Stegostoma tigrinum: one gene and its partner. The protein of the gene in region 2 purifies or fractionates together with the protein of the main gene of each other region. This does not show direct contact. Links are inferred from orthologs where the notes say so. Each region holds a gene or a part of one and is shown on either strand. Other genes may lie near its edges.

Region 1 (7,540 bases), on a different chromosome or scaffold from region 2:
GTTAGTCTTGTGAACAGGATGTGCAGACTGTTGCTCAATGTTTCTGTCTGGCAATGTCAACTACACTTTCAACTGTAAAGGCAAGGTATATTTAAAAAAAAAATCAAAGTTATTTGACCCAAATTTGCTGACTTTGAAAGTTTTACATATTCCCAAGGCCAGGAGCCAGCAGTTTGATTATTGTAGTTAAACTGATAAAGATAACATTGGGTTCCTGCATGCAATCATTAGATAATAAGACAATAGCTCTCTTTAAGAGGTTGCATGAAAAATAATTTGATGGAATCAAATGGATTCAAGTGTAATAGATTGTTCACTATTTCATTTGATTATACAATAAATGTGCTGCAGTGCTCACTTGTTGCAGAAGGCCTGAAACATAAAGGGATAAATGCATATGCACTGTTCATGGCCATATGATTGAAGACAAGACCTTCAATGATAGGTAAGCTTTTGGAGCAAGACTTAGTGACCAACAAGGATTTTCAAGCATTCTCTAATTTATTCAATAATGGAATCAATCTTTGCTAAAAGATATTGTGAAGTTTCATAGGCAATTAATGTATATTTGAGCAGAATGTTGGACATTGCTCCTTGAAGGCAGAACTAAATGTCATTCAACAGTTGAAACAAAGAATTTTTATTATAGTGCAACTTTTACAATCAGCAGGATTCCCAAAGTGTTTTACAGCTAAAGTGCTTTTGAATCGTAGTCACTCTTGTACTGTAGGAACTACTAGAGCCATTTTTTACATTGTGACTTTGAAGAAGTCATATATGAATTATCTTGAGCCAAGTGAAAGATAAAACACCATGATAAACTGGGAAACAGGGAATTCACCCCCAAACTATCTAAAATGTTTCATTTGAAACTAAGTACTTGAAAAATAACTTTACAAAATTCAGAAAGCCGTTAGCAGACTACAAGAGATAACAAGGTGTACAGCTGAATGAACACAGCAGGCAAAGCAGCATCAGAGGAGCAGGAAGGCTGACGTTTCGGGCCTAGACCCTTCTTCAGAAATTGGGGAGGGAAAGGGGGTTCTGAAATAAATAGGGAGGGAGGGGGAGATTGAAGATGGATAGAGGAGAAGATAGGTGGAGAGGAGACAGACCAGTCGAAGAGGCAGGGATGGAGCCAGTAAAGGTGAGTGTAGGTGGGGAGGGAGGAAATAGGTCAGTCCAGGGAGCACGGACAGGTCAAGGGGGCGAGATGAGGTTAGTAGGTAGGAGATAGAGGTGGGGCTTGAGGTGGGATGAGGGGATAGGTGGGAGAAAGGACAGGTTAGGGAGGTGGGGACGAGCTGGGCTGGTTTAAGGATGCGGTGAGGGGCGGGGAGATTCCACATTGATACTATTAGGCTGCAGGGTTCCCAAACGCAATATGAGTTGCTGTTCCTGCAACCTTGGGGTAGCATCATTGTGGCACTGCAGGAGGCCCAGGATGGGCATGTCATCTGCGGAATGGGAGGGGAAATTGAAATGGTTCGCGACTGGGAGGTGCAGCTGTTTAGTGTGAACCAAGTGTAGGTGTTCTGCAAAGCAGTCCCCAAGCCTCCACTTGGTTTCCCTGATGTAGAAGAGACCACAACAGGAACAGTGGATGCAGTATACCATATTAGCAGATGTACAGGTGGACATCTGCTTGAAGTGGAAAGTCTTCTTGGGGCCTGGTATGGGGGTGAGATGTAGGGGCAGGTGTAGCACTTCTTACGGTTGCAGGGGAAAGTGCCAGGTGTGGTGGGGCTGGAAGGGAGTGTGGAGCGGACAAGGGAGTCACGGAGAGAGTGGTCCCTCCGGAAAGCAGATAAGGGTGGGGAGGGAAAAATGTCCTGGGTGGTGGGGTTGCATTGCAGATGGTGGAAGTGTCGGAGGATGATGCGTGGGATCCAGAAGTTGGTGGGGTGGTACGTGAGGACGAGGGGGATTCTGTTTTGGTTGTTATTGCAGGGAGGGGGTGTGAGGGATGAGTTGCAGGAAATGCGGGAGACATGGCCGAGTGCGTTCTTGACCACTAAGTAGGGGAAGTTGTGGTCCTTGACAAATGAGGACATCTGAGATGTACAGGAGTGGAATGCCTCATCCTGGGAGCAAATGCGATGGAGACGAAGGAATTGGGAATAGGGGATGGCATTTTTGCCGGAAGGTGGGTTGGATGAGATGTATTCGAGGTAGCTGTGGGAGTCGGTGGGCTTGAAATGGATATAGGTTTCTAGGTAGTTGCCAGAGATGGAGACAGAGAGGTCCAGGAAGGAGAGAGAGGTATTAGAGATGGTCCAGGTAAACTTAAGGTTGGGGTGGAAGGTGTTGGTGAATCGGATAAACTGTTCCAGCTCCTCGTGGGAGCACGAGGCGGCGCCGATACAGTCATCAATGTAATGGAGGAAGGCGTGGGGTTTAGGGCCAGTGTATGTATGGAAGAGGATCTACATAACCTACAAAGAGGCAGGCATAGCTTGGGCCCATGTGGGGTACCCATGGCCACCCTTTTGTCTGTAGGAAGTGGGAGAAATTGAAAGACAAGTTGTTGAGGGTGAGGACAAGTTCGGCTAAGCAGATGAAGGTGTCTGTGTATGGGAACTGGTGGGGCCTGTGGGACAGGAAGAAGCGGAGGGCCTTTAGGCCATCTGTATGGGGAATGCAGCTGTATAGGGACTGGACATCCATGGTAAAGATGTGTTGGGGACCAGGGAATTGGAAGTTCTGGAGGAGGTGGAGGGTGTGGGTGGTGTCACGGACGTAGGTAGGGAGTTCCTGGACCAAGGGAGAGAAAATGGAGTCCAGATAGGTGGAGATAAGTGCGGTGGAGCAGAAGCAGGCAGAGACAATGAGCCGACCAGGGTTGTCAGGTTTGTGGATTTTGGGAAGGAGATAGAAGCGGTCAGTGCTCGGGGAACTGCTTTGCAGAAAACCTACGCTCAGTTTACTCTAAACAACTGCACCTCCCAGTCGCAAACCATTTCAACTCCCCCTTCCATTCCACAGTCGACATGTCCATCCTGGACCCCCTGCAATGCCACAGCAATGCTACCGAAGGAGCAGGAACAGCATCTCATATTCCACTTGGGAACCCTGCAGCTCAATTATATCAATGTGGACTTCACAAGCTTCAAAATCTCCCCTCCCCTGACCGTATCCCAAAACCAGTCCAGCTCGTCCCTGCCTCCCCAACCCTGTCTTTCCTCCTACATATCCCCTCCTCCCACCTCCAGCCCCACCTCTATCTCCTACCTGCTAACCTCATCCCGTCCCCTTGACCAGTCCGTCCTTCCTGGTCTGACCTATCTCCTCCCTACCTCCCCACTTACACTCACCTTTCCTATCTCCATCCCCACCTCTGACCAGTCTGCCTCCTCTCCACCTATCTTCTCCTCTATCCATCTTCTGTCCACCTTCCCCTCTCTCCCTACTTACTTCAGAACCCCCTTCCCCTCCATCATTTCTGAAGAAGGGTCTAGGCGGGAAACGTCAGCTTTCCTGCTCCTCTGATGCTGCTTGGCCTGCTGTGTTCATTCAACTCTACACCTTATTATCTCAGATTCTCCAGCATCTGCAGTTCCTACTATCTCAGCAGACCACAAGCTCTGAGAACAGATAAACAAAGTTTCGGAACAATGGTTAAGATTGACAAATTTTTCGTGAGAACATCCAATATGCTCGCTACATGTCTGAAATTTTATTTATCTTTAAAAATGTCACATCGCAAACAGTTAGTTCAGTTTCCTTTAGAAGTCTTATAGCACGTCAACAGAGCAGTTAAACCTTTGTAAGATAACAAAGTGTGGGGCTGGATGAACACAGCAGGCCGAGCAGCATCTTAGGAGCACAAAAGCTGACCTTTCGGGTTAAACCTTTGTACTGGTTGTGCTTATTCATAGATGACGGGTTCCTTGCCATGCCCTGCCCACATTTAATACATTTCAGCTACTGAACAGAAAGTGTAGTCCTTCATGGACTAAGGCTAATTATCTTGCATAGCAATCAAGTCAAGCAAAACGATCTGAACAGATTATGATGTTGATGTTCAATATAATATTAATATTTAGGGCTGATCATTTTCAGGCACAACATTTAGCTGCATCAATTGGAGATGGTCACAAATTTTGCAGATAATCCAGATTATGCAAGCATGAATGCATCAGGTGCAGCACTGGCCAGCAGCCACAATTGACAGTGGTGGTCAGAAGCAGCCATGATTGACAGCTCTGTCCGGGCTGCACTTCTTCCAACCCAACATGGTTATGGCCCCTTCCCCCACCCCAAACCCCGGCTTAGGTGTTCGCCTCACTGCCTGACAGCCGGTGCTCACCTTGGGCGGCGGGGGCTCCCGTTTATTACCGGGCTGTGAGTGGCTGCGGCAGTGTTGTTGCGAGAGCGTTGTTGGTGTTTGTCTGCGGTGTCCGGCGAGTTTGTCGTGCGAGGCCCCGGCAGGCAGGCGGTGGGCGCCCTTGGCTGCGGTTGTTGGGGGAGGGGAGGGCGGCCTGGCGGGGAAGATGTCCGCCACTCTCCTCTCGCCCATCGTTGATTATTACAACGATGAGGAGGAGCTGGACAGCGTGGACGACGAGGACGACCGCAGCATCCGGGGCCGCGATTCGGATGAAGGTGAGTGCAGATGGAACCGGGGTGTATGTGTGATAAGAGGCGGGCGGTTGTCGCCGCCTGACGGTGGGCCTCATGTACAGAGGCTGGAACCGGGAGAGGTGAGGCTACTAACTTGGAGCCGGTATCAAGCAAACATGTAGGCGCTGCTTATAAAATGGATGACTTGTTTACAGTTCTAAGCGAGGGAACCGGACCCGAAATGTTAACTCTGATTTCTCTCCACAGATACTGCCAGACCTGCTGAGTTTTTCCAGCAATCTCTATTTTTTTTGTTTCTGACTTGTTTACAGTCTTCTTTCGAGGATTAAAAAAAAGAAAAAAGGTGGAAAGAGAGCCAGAGGCAAACTTTCAGAATTCCTGTTGCCACACTCCTTACCCTTTCATGAAATGTTGTCAAGCACCACTCGCAGAACATTTTCCCCCATAAGTCCTCGCTCAGGAGTTTGGTCAGTTCAAGGATGTGGGACATTTTCATAGAATCTCGACAGCGTGGAAACAGGCCCTTCAGCCTAACCAGTCCACACCGAACCTCCAAGCATTCCCACCTAATCTATGCATCCCTGAACACTGAGCAATTTAGCCTGGTCAATCCATTTAGCATACACATCTTTGTACAGTGGGAGGAAACCCACGCAGACACTGGGAGAATGTGCAAACTGCACACAGACAGTCGCCCAAGGGTGGATTCGAACCTGGGTCCCTGGTGTTGTGAGGCAGCAGTGCTAACCACTGAGCCACCATGAAAAACTGTTGTTGAGATAGTGAAAATCCCTGGGTGTTTTTAGTTTTGCCATCCCTCTTCCCACTCCCAACCAACATTTAGAACAGAATTACAATTCAGCACTTGTTATCCTCCATGACCTTGTGCAGGTGAAGAAGGTGTTTCATGTGCTTCCTTCATTGCTCAGAACATTGACATCATGTTGTGGACATTGTTGATGTCACTTTTTCAATACTGTGTACAATTCTGCTCACCCTTCTGAAGGAGGGATGTTGATAAACTTTGAGAGCACACAGAAAAGATTTACAAGGATGTTGCCGTGACTGGAGGGTATGAGTTACAGGGAGAGGCTGAATAGGCTGGGGCCTTTTACCCTGGAGCATGGGAGGTTGAGGTTTTATAGAGGTTTATGAAGTCCAGACGGGCATGGATAGGCTGAATAGCCAAGATCTTTATTTCCTAGGATGGGAAAATCCAAAACTAGAGTACATCGGTTTAAGCTGAAGGGGGAAAGATTTGTGGACAAGTTGGACTGGAGGGTCTGTTTCAATGCTTTGTAATGTCATGACACAACATTGAGGGAATTATAATGTGGCTCAAGTCACTTGATGTATATACTCTAGCATTGTGTAGCAGGATGTACTGCGAGTAATCAAGATTGTTTTGGAATCCTGGCTGAATTTCTTTCACTTTGACACTGATTTGCATTCACAGATCACATTTCTAGTGTCTTTTGGAAATATTCAAAATCATTTCATACACAGGGAATGATTTCAAAATTGCAGTAACTGCTCCATTGGCACATGTGACCAGTGTGCTGACAACATGATCTCACAAACTAATTGTATGAATGGTGTTTGTTTGATTTTGTTGTTGTTTGTCAAGTGGTAATGTTGTGTAAGATTTCCTTTCTTTTTGAGAAATGTTCGTGTCCTTTAATGTCCAGCTAAACAATGGGAAGAAGCGAATATGATCTGCTCTTATAATGAAGGAAGCACTCCAGTTTTGCAGCAGCTTTGTACTTGTATATTAGATGAGATTGTGGGAAGACAGACATAGAGTAGGAAAGGCAAAGAGACTGATGTTTATATAAAACTAAAGGCATTCATGTTCAGAGTAGAGGAAGAGTTCAAAATACCAGCTGCACCAGAGGAACTTGTTATTTTGATGACTCTTGATACTAAAATTGTGCCGTAGGATTAGAACATTGCAAAATCTCTTCATTATTTGAGAAGGGAGTTTTTTTGCTCATTAGCAGAATGTGGCATCAGTGACATGACTTTCTCCAGGGCAACTAGGGATCAGCAATGAGCTGCCTGTTGATTTTCTGCGGTCCTTGAGATGTCTGAACACTCACCAAACTGTTAGGGAGTTCCAGGATTTTGACCTAAGGACTTTGAAGGAACAACAGTATATTAGAAGTCAGGATGGTATAAAAGTTGGAAAGGATCTTGCAGATGGTGATGTATACATGCATCTGCTGCTTTTGTCCATTTTAGATGTTAGAAGATGCTGGTTTGAAAAGTGCTATTGGAGGAATCTTGATGAATTACTGCATGTATTTTGCAGATGGTACACACTGCTGCTATTTTGTGTCTGTTGTGAAAGGCCTGAATGTTGAAGGTGGTGATTTGGGTGCTGATCAAGCGGGCTGTTTTGCCCTGGATGGTGTCGAGCATCTGAAGTGTTGTTGGAGCAATGTCTCTCCGGGCAAGTGGTGAGTATTCATCACTCTCTTTTGACTTGTGCCTTGAAGACAGCAGACCAACATTGGGAAACAGAAAGTGAGTTTTCGTTGCCGAATTCTGACGAGCTCTTGTAGCGACAATATTAAATGGCTGATCAGTGGTAACCCCCAGGATGTTGTTAACGGTATTACCCGCTGAACTTGAGGTGGGAGGTTCTTTTGGAGGTGGCTATTGCCTGCTACTTTTGTGGCATAAATATTATTTGTCAGCCCTGGTCTGGATGTTAGCCACATCTTGCGGCATTTGGACATGCACTGCTTCAGTATATGAGAAGATGTGAACGTTGCTGAACATTATGCAGTCATTAGTAAATACCCCCACTTCTGGCTTTATGATGGATGGCCATTAATGAAATAGCTGGGGTTATTTGAATCTGGGACAATGCCCTGAAGAACCCATGTTGTAATATCTTAGGACCAAGATAATTGACCTCAAGCAACCACAGTCGTCTACCTTTGTGTGAGGT
Region 2 (7,847 bases):
CCATCAAGCGGGTAGAGGCAGCTACAGGGGGGCTATAAGAGCTCCTCTGATGAGGGAGGTTCAGACGAGGCCTGCCCAAAGCAGAAGCTAAAGATCTCGAGGGAGAAGGAAAGCAGCACCCCGCTTCCAGGTGACGGGAGGCATCCTGAGGCTCCCTCCAACACCCAGCCACACGCCGCTGGGGCCCTGGAGGGCCCCCCGGAACCTTCAGGCGGGAAGCAGGAAACGTGTCCCCAGCCGGACCCAAAACCGGACTCTCCTGCCTCCGTACCCCCGACGGGGGGATGCCACCCGAAAGGCTGCATGGACGGCTTCCTGAGCCCGGAGAGCATCCAGCAGTTAGCCCGGGCAATGGGCATGAAGGGACAGATGGAGGGGCTAGACCTTGGGCTTGGGGAGGGTACTGCGGTCACTGCCCACAATGGGGGTACAAATTGTGAGAGTAATGTGCGCAGCGTCAAGTCAACCGCGAGATGTGTGTCTACGTTGGCCTACCTGACCACCGTGAAGGTGGACCTCCTGTTTCTGCAGGAGTGCAGGATACCGCACCTCAGCAGGTACGGGAAATGGTTGAGCGTCTGGACCTGTGGGCCTTCGATCTGATCAGGTGGTAACAACTGTCGCTCCTCGGGCCTGGATATTCTGCTGCGGGGGCGCAACTTCACCATCTCTCAAGTTCAGGTGGTGGTGTGGGGGCGCCTCCTAGTGGTTGATGTCACCCACATGAACGCTCCCCTGAGGCTGATCAACGTGTACGCCCCAGCGGTACGGAGTGAGCGGTTGGCCGTCCTGCAGCGGCTTCCACCCCTGCTGGCTACATCCAGACCGGTCATCCTAGGCGGAGACTTCAACTGCATCATGCAGATGGAAGATCCGGCGTGGGGACACCAAGTCAACTGGACGTCACGTCCAGATTCCTGATGGGCACGGTGAAGGGCGCCAAGCTGCTCGACGTCTTCAGCACCCCTGCAGACGGAGGGCAGCAGAGATACACTTGGTCGCGGCCAGACGGGTCTATCTGCTCAAGGATAGACTTCCTGTTTGTGTCACGGGCGTTCTCGGTCAGGTCCACTGGCGTCGAGCCGGTGTTCTTCTGACCACTGCCTCCTGCTGGCTGACTGTCACTTACAAGACGACCAGCAGGCTGGCAAGGGGACGTGGAAGCTCAACACGACTCTGTTGACCCCAGAGAATGTCGAGGAGCTCATGAGGGAGTACGCTGGTTGGAGAACTGTGAAACCCCTCTTTGAGTCTCTGGGCGACTGGTGGGAGACAGTGAAGGAGAACATCAAGAGGTTCTTTGTTCTCAAGGGTGTTCGGAAGGCGAGAGTGAGGCGGGGAAAACTGTCGCGACTCCAGAAAAGGGTGCAGAACCTGCTCCTTCTGCAGTTGATGGGGGTCGATGTCACGAAGGACCTCGAGGTGAGGGGCCAGCAAGCCTCGCTCTTCGTCGCAGAGGCCTCCAGGATAATCTTCTGGTCCAGGGTCCGCTCCGCGGAGCAGGACGAGACGTGCTCGCGTTTCTTCTTTCAGAAGGTGCACAAAGAGAGCTCTGTGCTTAGCCGGCTGAAGGAGGACGACGGCTCGGTGACGTCGTCTCAGCCTGACATTTCGAGGATCAGCAGATCCTTCTATGCCGGACTGTACGATGCGAAGCCCACGGACAGCACGGCCTCCTAGTTGTTCCTGTCGTCTAACACAGAGGTCTTAGACAACGGCACAAGGGAGTGGCTGGACCGGCCGATATCCCGGGACGAGCTGCCCTCAAGTCCTTGGAGAGGAATAAGACTCCCGGGAGCGACGGCTTACCGGTCGAGCTGTATTCCGCTCTGTGGGACCTGGTTGGCCAGGACCTGCTGGGGGTGTCTGACAGTGCGCTTCGGGCAGGGGAAATATGCAAGTCCATGAGGAAGGGCATCATCACCCACATTTACAAGAGGAAGGGGGAGAGGGAAGAAATTAAGAATTGGCGTCCCATTTCACGATTGAACGTGGACTACAAAATCCTAGCCAAGGTCATAGCCAACCAGATCAGGTCTGTCCTGCAGTCGGTGATTCACCCTGACCAAACCTGTGCTGTGCCGGGCAAAAGGATCACTGAGAGCCTCACGCTCATCAGGGATACGATCGCCTACGTGCAGGACAGACGGGTGGACACCTGCCTCATCAGCCTGGACCAGGAGAAGGCCTTCGACAGGGTCTCTCATGCTTACATGAGGGACGTCCTCTCCAAATTGGGGTTCGGGGAAGGCATCCGCAATTGGATCCGGCTGCTCTACACCAACATCGTTAGCACAGTCTCGATCAACGGGTGGGAGTCGGACAGTTTTCCCGTCGATCTGGAGTCAGGCAGGGCTGTCGCCGTCTTCTGCACCGATCGTCGGTCGGTGAGTAGGCTGTTGGACATCTGCGGCCAGTTTGAACTGGCCTCGGGTGCCAAAGTCAATAGGGGTAAGAGCGAGGCCATGTTCTTCAGGAACTGGGACGATCGCTCCTTCATCCCCTTCACTGTCAGGACATACTAGAAGGTGCTGGGTGTTTGGTTCGGTGGAGCTGGGGCGTGCACTAAGACTTGGGAGGAGCGTATCACCAAACTGAAGCAGAAGCTGGGCAGGTGGATGCTCCGGTCCCTCTCCATCGCGGATAAGAACCTGGTTGTCAGGTGCGAGGGGCTTTTGGTACTGCTGTATGTGGCACAGGCCTGGCCTATTCCCTGGACCTGCGCCGCTGCGGTCACCCGGGCCATCTTCCACTTCATTTGGTGGGGTTGAGGATGGACCGGGTCCACAGGGACACCATGTATAAAGAGCTGGAAAATGGGGGAAAGGGCGTACCGAACGCCACCCTTGCCCTGATGGCTACCTTTGTGTGCGGCTGCATCAAACTGTGCGTAGATCCTCAGTACGCAAACACCAAGTGTCACTACTTACTGAGGTTCTACCTGTCCCCGGTGTTGCGAAGGATGGGCCTGGCCTTGTTGCTGCGGAACGCTCCGAGTAGTTGGACCGTCCCGTACCACCTGTCCTTCGTGGAGAAATTTTTGAAGGGCAACACCTTTGACCACAAGGCCAAAAGGCAGTGGTCAGCACGTCGTATCCTCGAGACCCTTCGGGAAGAGGAGAGGGTGGATCCCGTCGTGTGGTTTCCCACGCAGACTGCCAAAGTCGTTTGGCAGAGTGCCTCATCGCCAGAAATTTCAAACAAGCACAAGGACATTGCTTGGCTGGCGGTGAGAGGGGCTCTGCCAGTGAGATCCTTAATGCATGCCCGGAATCTCTGCGCCAACGCACGCTGCCCTCGAGTTGGCTGCCGGGGGGGGGGGACACGAGACTGTCAATCACCTCCTTCTGGAGTGTGCCTATCCGCAGGAGGTCTGGAGGGGGATGCAGTGGTATTTGTCGAGGTTCGTCCTGAGCAGCCCCATGACATGGGACTCCGTGCTCTACGGGCTGTTTCCCAGGATGCACACCGAGACCAACATCAACTGCGCCTGGAGGACCATCAATGCGGCAAAAGACGCTCTTTGGTCTGCCCGCAACTTGCTGGTCTGCCAGCTGAAAGAACTGACCCCGACCAAGTGTTGCAGACTGGCGCACTCCAAGGTCCAGGACTACGTGCTGAGGGACGCGCTAAAGCTTGGGGCAGCCACCGCCAAGGCACGGTGGGGAAAGACCACGGTATGAAACCCCTCGTCCAGAAAAGGAAAAAGAACCCTATCTGGTAACTGGGCCCAGCTGGCGCCTTCCCCAACTGGTCAGGGGGCCAACGGGGACTGTGCGGGGTGATGACTGCCAGGGTATTTTCTTTGCTTTGTTATTTTTCGCCTTTAGTTGGTGTACGTATCCCCTGGGTAACCCGGAGCGGCTTGCATGACTGGGTAGGTGTATAAATATGTTTTTTTTTGTACATTCTATGAATAAAGTATATTTTTTCAAATAAAAAAAGTGACAAAACGTCTGAAAACTAACCTGCCAGCTCAGCGAGCAAACTCACATCCACTTGGTGATCAAATTTGAAAAAAACACAAAGGTGCTGGAAATCAGAAAGAAAAGCAGAGACTGGGTGGGTCTGCTCAGCATCTCTGGAGAGAGAGAAGCAGAGTTAACGCTTTGGGTCCAATTGCCCTACTTTGGTATCGCCGGCCATTTCTGTTTGGTCAATAGTTCATGTGTTTGAAGGTTGGCTTCGAGAGACAACTTCTGGGGGTTGGGGGACAGTCTACAGGGGTCACCCAACTGTGAACGAGTGGGGCTGGCAGGTTCCACACTGACCATTTTAAAGTCGTTGTCCAGGCTCCCAGCAATGGCAGGGGAGGGCCTACTCAGGTAGGCCCCATTGGGGAGGGGGCAGCTCGCTCTCTTCAGCCTTTTACTCAGAAGAATGAGGACTTGCAGAAGCTGGCAATCTGACATTTGAATCGAAAACAAATCGGCAAGCGCCGGGAACAGCCCGTCAGGCAGACTCTACAGAGCGGGTCCATCCTATTGGTGCCGCCTCCTCAGGACAGGGTGCCGCCTTCCTCCGCCCGCCAACTTGGCTCAGGAGGCGGAAAGGACTACAACTCCCAGAGGGCTCCGCGGGAGCAGCCCGCTGCCGCCGGTTGCCATGGCGGCCGGGTTCCAAGGTCGGCTCCCGGCGATTCCACCCAATCGAGGCAGGCGTTGTTCGGCGCCCCGCTTCGCGTTTGCCAATAGAGATACAGGAGGCCCCGAGGCCTGGCCAATCAGGGGTCTAGTTGTTAGGAAGGCCGTTGAGGGGCGGCGGAGCCTCGGGAAGTGAAGGCAGGGGGATGGCTCAGTGATCGAGGGCGGACAGAGCCGTGGTCTAACCCCAGCACCGACAGCAAAATAACCAGAGGTGAGGATCGGGCCGGTACCGCGGGCCCCGGGCGGAGGCAGAGATACACTCATCCGCGCAGTGAGACTCGACTGTGTTAATGACAGAGGAGGAACGACAAAGTGAGGCCCGAGTAGGGGTAAGGGAACGGGGGTGGACGGTGGGGAACGGAGAGGGGGACGTGGGGGTGGATTAGGGAGGGAAAGGTTGGGTGGCGGGTCTTATGATGTGTGGAGTCTTATGAAGCGTGGAATTGGGTGGGCGTGTGATGGGGGGGTGTGAGAGGCGGGGCGAGAGTGGCTGCGGGGGGCGGGGCGAGAGTGGCCGGGGGGGCGGGGCGAGAGTGGCCGGGGGGGCGGGGCGAGAGTGGCCGGGGGGGGCGGGGCGAGAGTGGCCGGGGGGGGCGGGGCGAGAGTGGCCGGGGGGGCGGGGCGAGAGTGGCCGGGGGGGCGGGGCGAGTGTGGCCGGGGGGGCGGGGCGAGTGTGGCCGGGGGGGGCGGGGCGAGTGTGGCCGGGGGGGGGCGGGGCGAGTGTGGCCGGGGGGGGGGCGGGGCGAGTGTGGCCGGGGGGGGGCGGGGCGAGTGTGGCCGGGGGGGGCGGGGCGAGTGTGGCCGGGGGGGGGCGGGGCGGGGCGAGTGTGGCCGGGGGGGGGGCGGGGCGGGGCGAGTGTGGCCGGGGGGGGGGGCGGGGCGGGGCGAGTGTGGCCGGGGGGGGGGGCGGGGCGGGGCGAGTGTGGCCGGGGGGGGGGCGGGGCGGGGCGAGTGTGGCCGGGGGGGGGGCGGGGCGGGGCGAGTGTGGCCGGGGGGGGGCGGGGCGGGGCGAGTGTGGCCGGGGGGGGGCGGGGCGGGGCGAGTGTGGCCGAGGGGGGGGCGGGGGGGGGCGAGTGTGGCCGGGGGGGGCGGGGCGAGGGTGGCCGGGGCGAGTGTGGGGCTGGGGCGGGGCGAGAGTGGCCGGGGGGGCGGGGCGGGGCGAGAGTGGCCGGGGGGGCGGGGCGAGGCGAGTGTGGGGCTGGGGCGGGGCGAGAGTGGCCGGGGTGGGCGGGGTGAGTGTGGGGCTGGGGCGGGGCGAGAGTGGGGCTGGGGCGGGGGCGGGGGCGGGGCGAGTGTGGGGCGGGGAGTGAGGTGGGGGGGGTGGGGAATTAGGGGGCGGGGGCGGGGCGGGGAGTGATGGTGGCGCGGGGAGGGGGGGCGGGGGGGCGGGGAGTGATGGGGGGGAGGGGGGGCGGGGAGTGATGGGGGGGAGGGGGGGCGGGGAGTGATGGGGGGGAGGGGGGGCGGGGAGTGATGGGGGGGAGGGGGGGCGGGGAGTGATGGGGGGGGCGGGGGGGCGGGGAGTGATGGGGGGGGCGGGGGGGCGGGGAGTGATGGGGGGGGCGGGGGGGCGGGGAGTGATGGGGGGGGCGGGGGGGCGGGGAGTGATGGGGGGGCGGGGGGGAGTGAGGGGCGGGGGGGTGGGGAGTGGGGGGGCGGGGGGGTGGGGAGTGGGGGGGCGGGGGGGTGGGGAGTGGGGGGCGGGGGGGAGTGAGGGGCGGGGGGGTGGGGAGTGGGGGGCGGGGAGTGATGGGGGGGCGGGGGGGAGTGGGGGGCGGGGGGGAGGGGAGTGGGGGGCGGGGGGGAGGGGAGTGGGGGGGCGGGGGGGAGTGAGGGGCGGGGGGGTGGGGAGTGGGGGGCGGGGGGGAGTGAGGGGCGGGGTGGTGGGGAGTGAGGGGCGGGGGGGCGGGGAGAGAGGTGGGGGGCAGTGAGGGGGGAGGGGAGTGGGGCGGGGGCGGGGGCGGGGAGAGAGGTGGGGGGCAGTGAGGGGGTGGGGAGTGATGGGGGGGCGGGGGGGAGTGAGGGGGAGGGGGGGCGGGGGAGGGGAGTGGGGCGGGGGCGGGGAGAGAGGTGGGGGGCAGTGAGGGGGAGTGAGGGGGAGGGGGGGCGGGGGAGGGGAGTGGGGCGGGGGCGGGGAGAGAGGTGGGGGGCAGTGAGGGGGTGGGGAGTGAGAGGGGCTGCGGGGAGTGAGGGGGGTCAGGGGCGGGGAGTGAGGGGGGCTGCGGGGGGGGGGCGGGGAGTGAGGTGGGGGGCAGTGAGGGGGCGGGGAGTGAGGGGGGCTGCGGGGAGTGAGCGGGGTCAGGGGCGGGGAGTGAGGTGGGGGGCAGCGGGGGGGCGGGGGCGGGGAGTGAGGGGGGGCGGGGAGTGAGGGGGGCGGGGGGGTGAGGGGGCGGGCAGTGAGGTGAGGGGCAGTGAGGGGGCGGGGAGTGAGGGGGGGCGGGGAGTGAGGGGGGCGGGGGCAGGCAGTGAGGTGGAGGGCAGTGAGGGGGCGGGGGTGGGGGCGGGGAGTGAGGGGGGGGCGGGGAGTGAGGGGGGGCGGGGGTGGGGGCGGGGAGTGAGGTGGGGGCGGGGAGTGAGGGGGGGCGGGGGTGGGGGCGGGGAGTGAGGTGGGGGCGGGGAGTGAGGGGGGGGCGGGGGTGGGGGCGGGGAGTGAGGGGGGCGGGGGTGGGGGCGGGGAGTGAGGGGGGGTGGGGGCGGTGAGTGAGGGGGGCGGGGGCGGGGGCGGGGAGTGAGGGGGGCGGGGGTGGGGGCGGGGAGTGAGGTGGGGGCGGGGAGTGAGGGGGGGGCGGGGGTGGGGGCGGGGAGTGAGGTGGGGGCGGGGAGTGAGGGGGGGCGGGGGTGGGGGCGGGGAGTGAGGGGGGGTGGGGGCGGTGAGTGAGGGGGGCGGGGGCGGGGGCGGGGAGTGAGGGGGGCGGGGGCGGGGGCGGGGAGTGAGGGGGGGGCGGGGGCGGGGAGTGAGGGGGGGCGGGGAGTGAGGGGGGGGCGGGGGCGGGGGCGGGGAGTGAGGGGGGGGCGGGGGCGGGGGCGGGGAGTGAGGGGGGGGCGGGGGCGGGGAGTGAGGGGGGGGCGGGGGCGGGGAGTGAGGGGGGGGCGGGGGCGGGGGCGGGGAGTGAGGGGGGGGCGGGGGCGGGGAGTGAGGGGGGGGCGGGGGCGGGGAGTGAGGGGGGGGCGGGGGTGGGGGCGGGGAGTGAGGGGGGGGTG

The links.
Region 1: the proteins of histone deacetylase complex subunit SAP130-like (region 2) and suds3 purify together in Homo sapiens (affinity purification with western blotting; 3 studies listed by BioGRID, with this or other methods). This does not show direct contact. The link is inferred for Stegostoma tigrinum from reciprocal best matches to the Homo sapiens genes SAP130 and SUDS3.

Annotation. Positions count from the first base shown.
Region 1 is NC_081379.1:35,357,170-35,364,709, forward strand, and holds the start of suds3 (sin3 histone deacetylase corepressor complex component SDS3), read left to right. Parts: upstream 1-4,440; 5' UTR 4,441-4,493; coding exon 4,494-4,605; intron 4,606-4,684; exon of another isoform or gene 4,685-4,703; intron 4,704-7,009; exon of another isoform or gene 7,010-7,024; coding exon of another isoform or gene 7,025-7,043; intron 7,044-7,540.
Region 2 is NC_081367.1:5,811,777-5,819,623, forward strand, and holds the start of histone deacetylase complex subunit SAP130-like, read left to right. Parts: upstream 1-4,754; 5' UTR 4,755-4,936; coding exon 4,937-4,975; intron 4,976-7,847. UniProt on the Homo sapiens protein: Acts as a transcriptional repressor. May function in the assembly and/or enzymatic activity of the mSin3A corepressor complex or in mediating interactions between the complex and other regulatory complexes.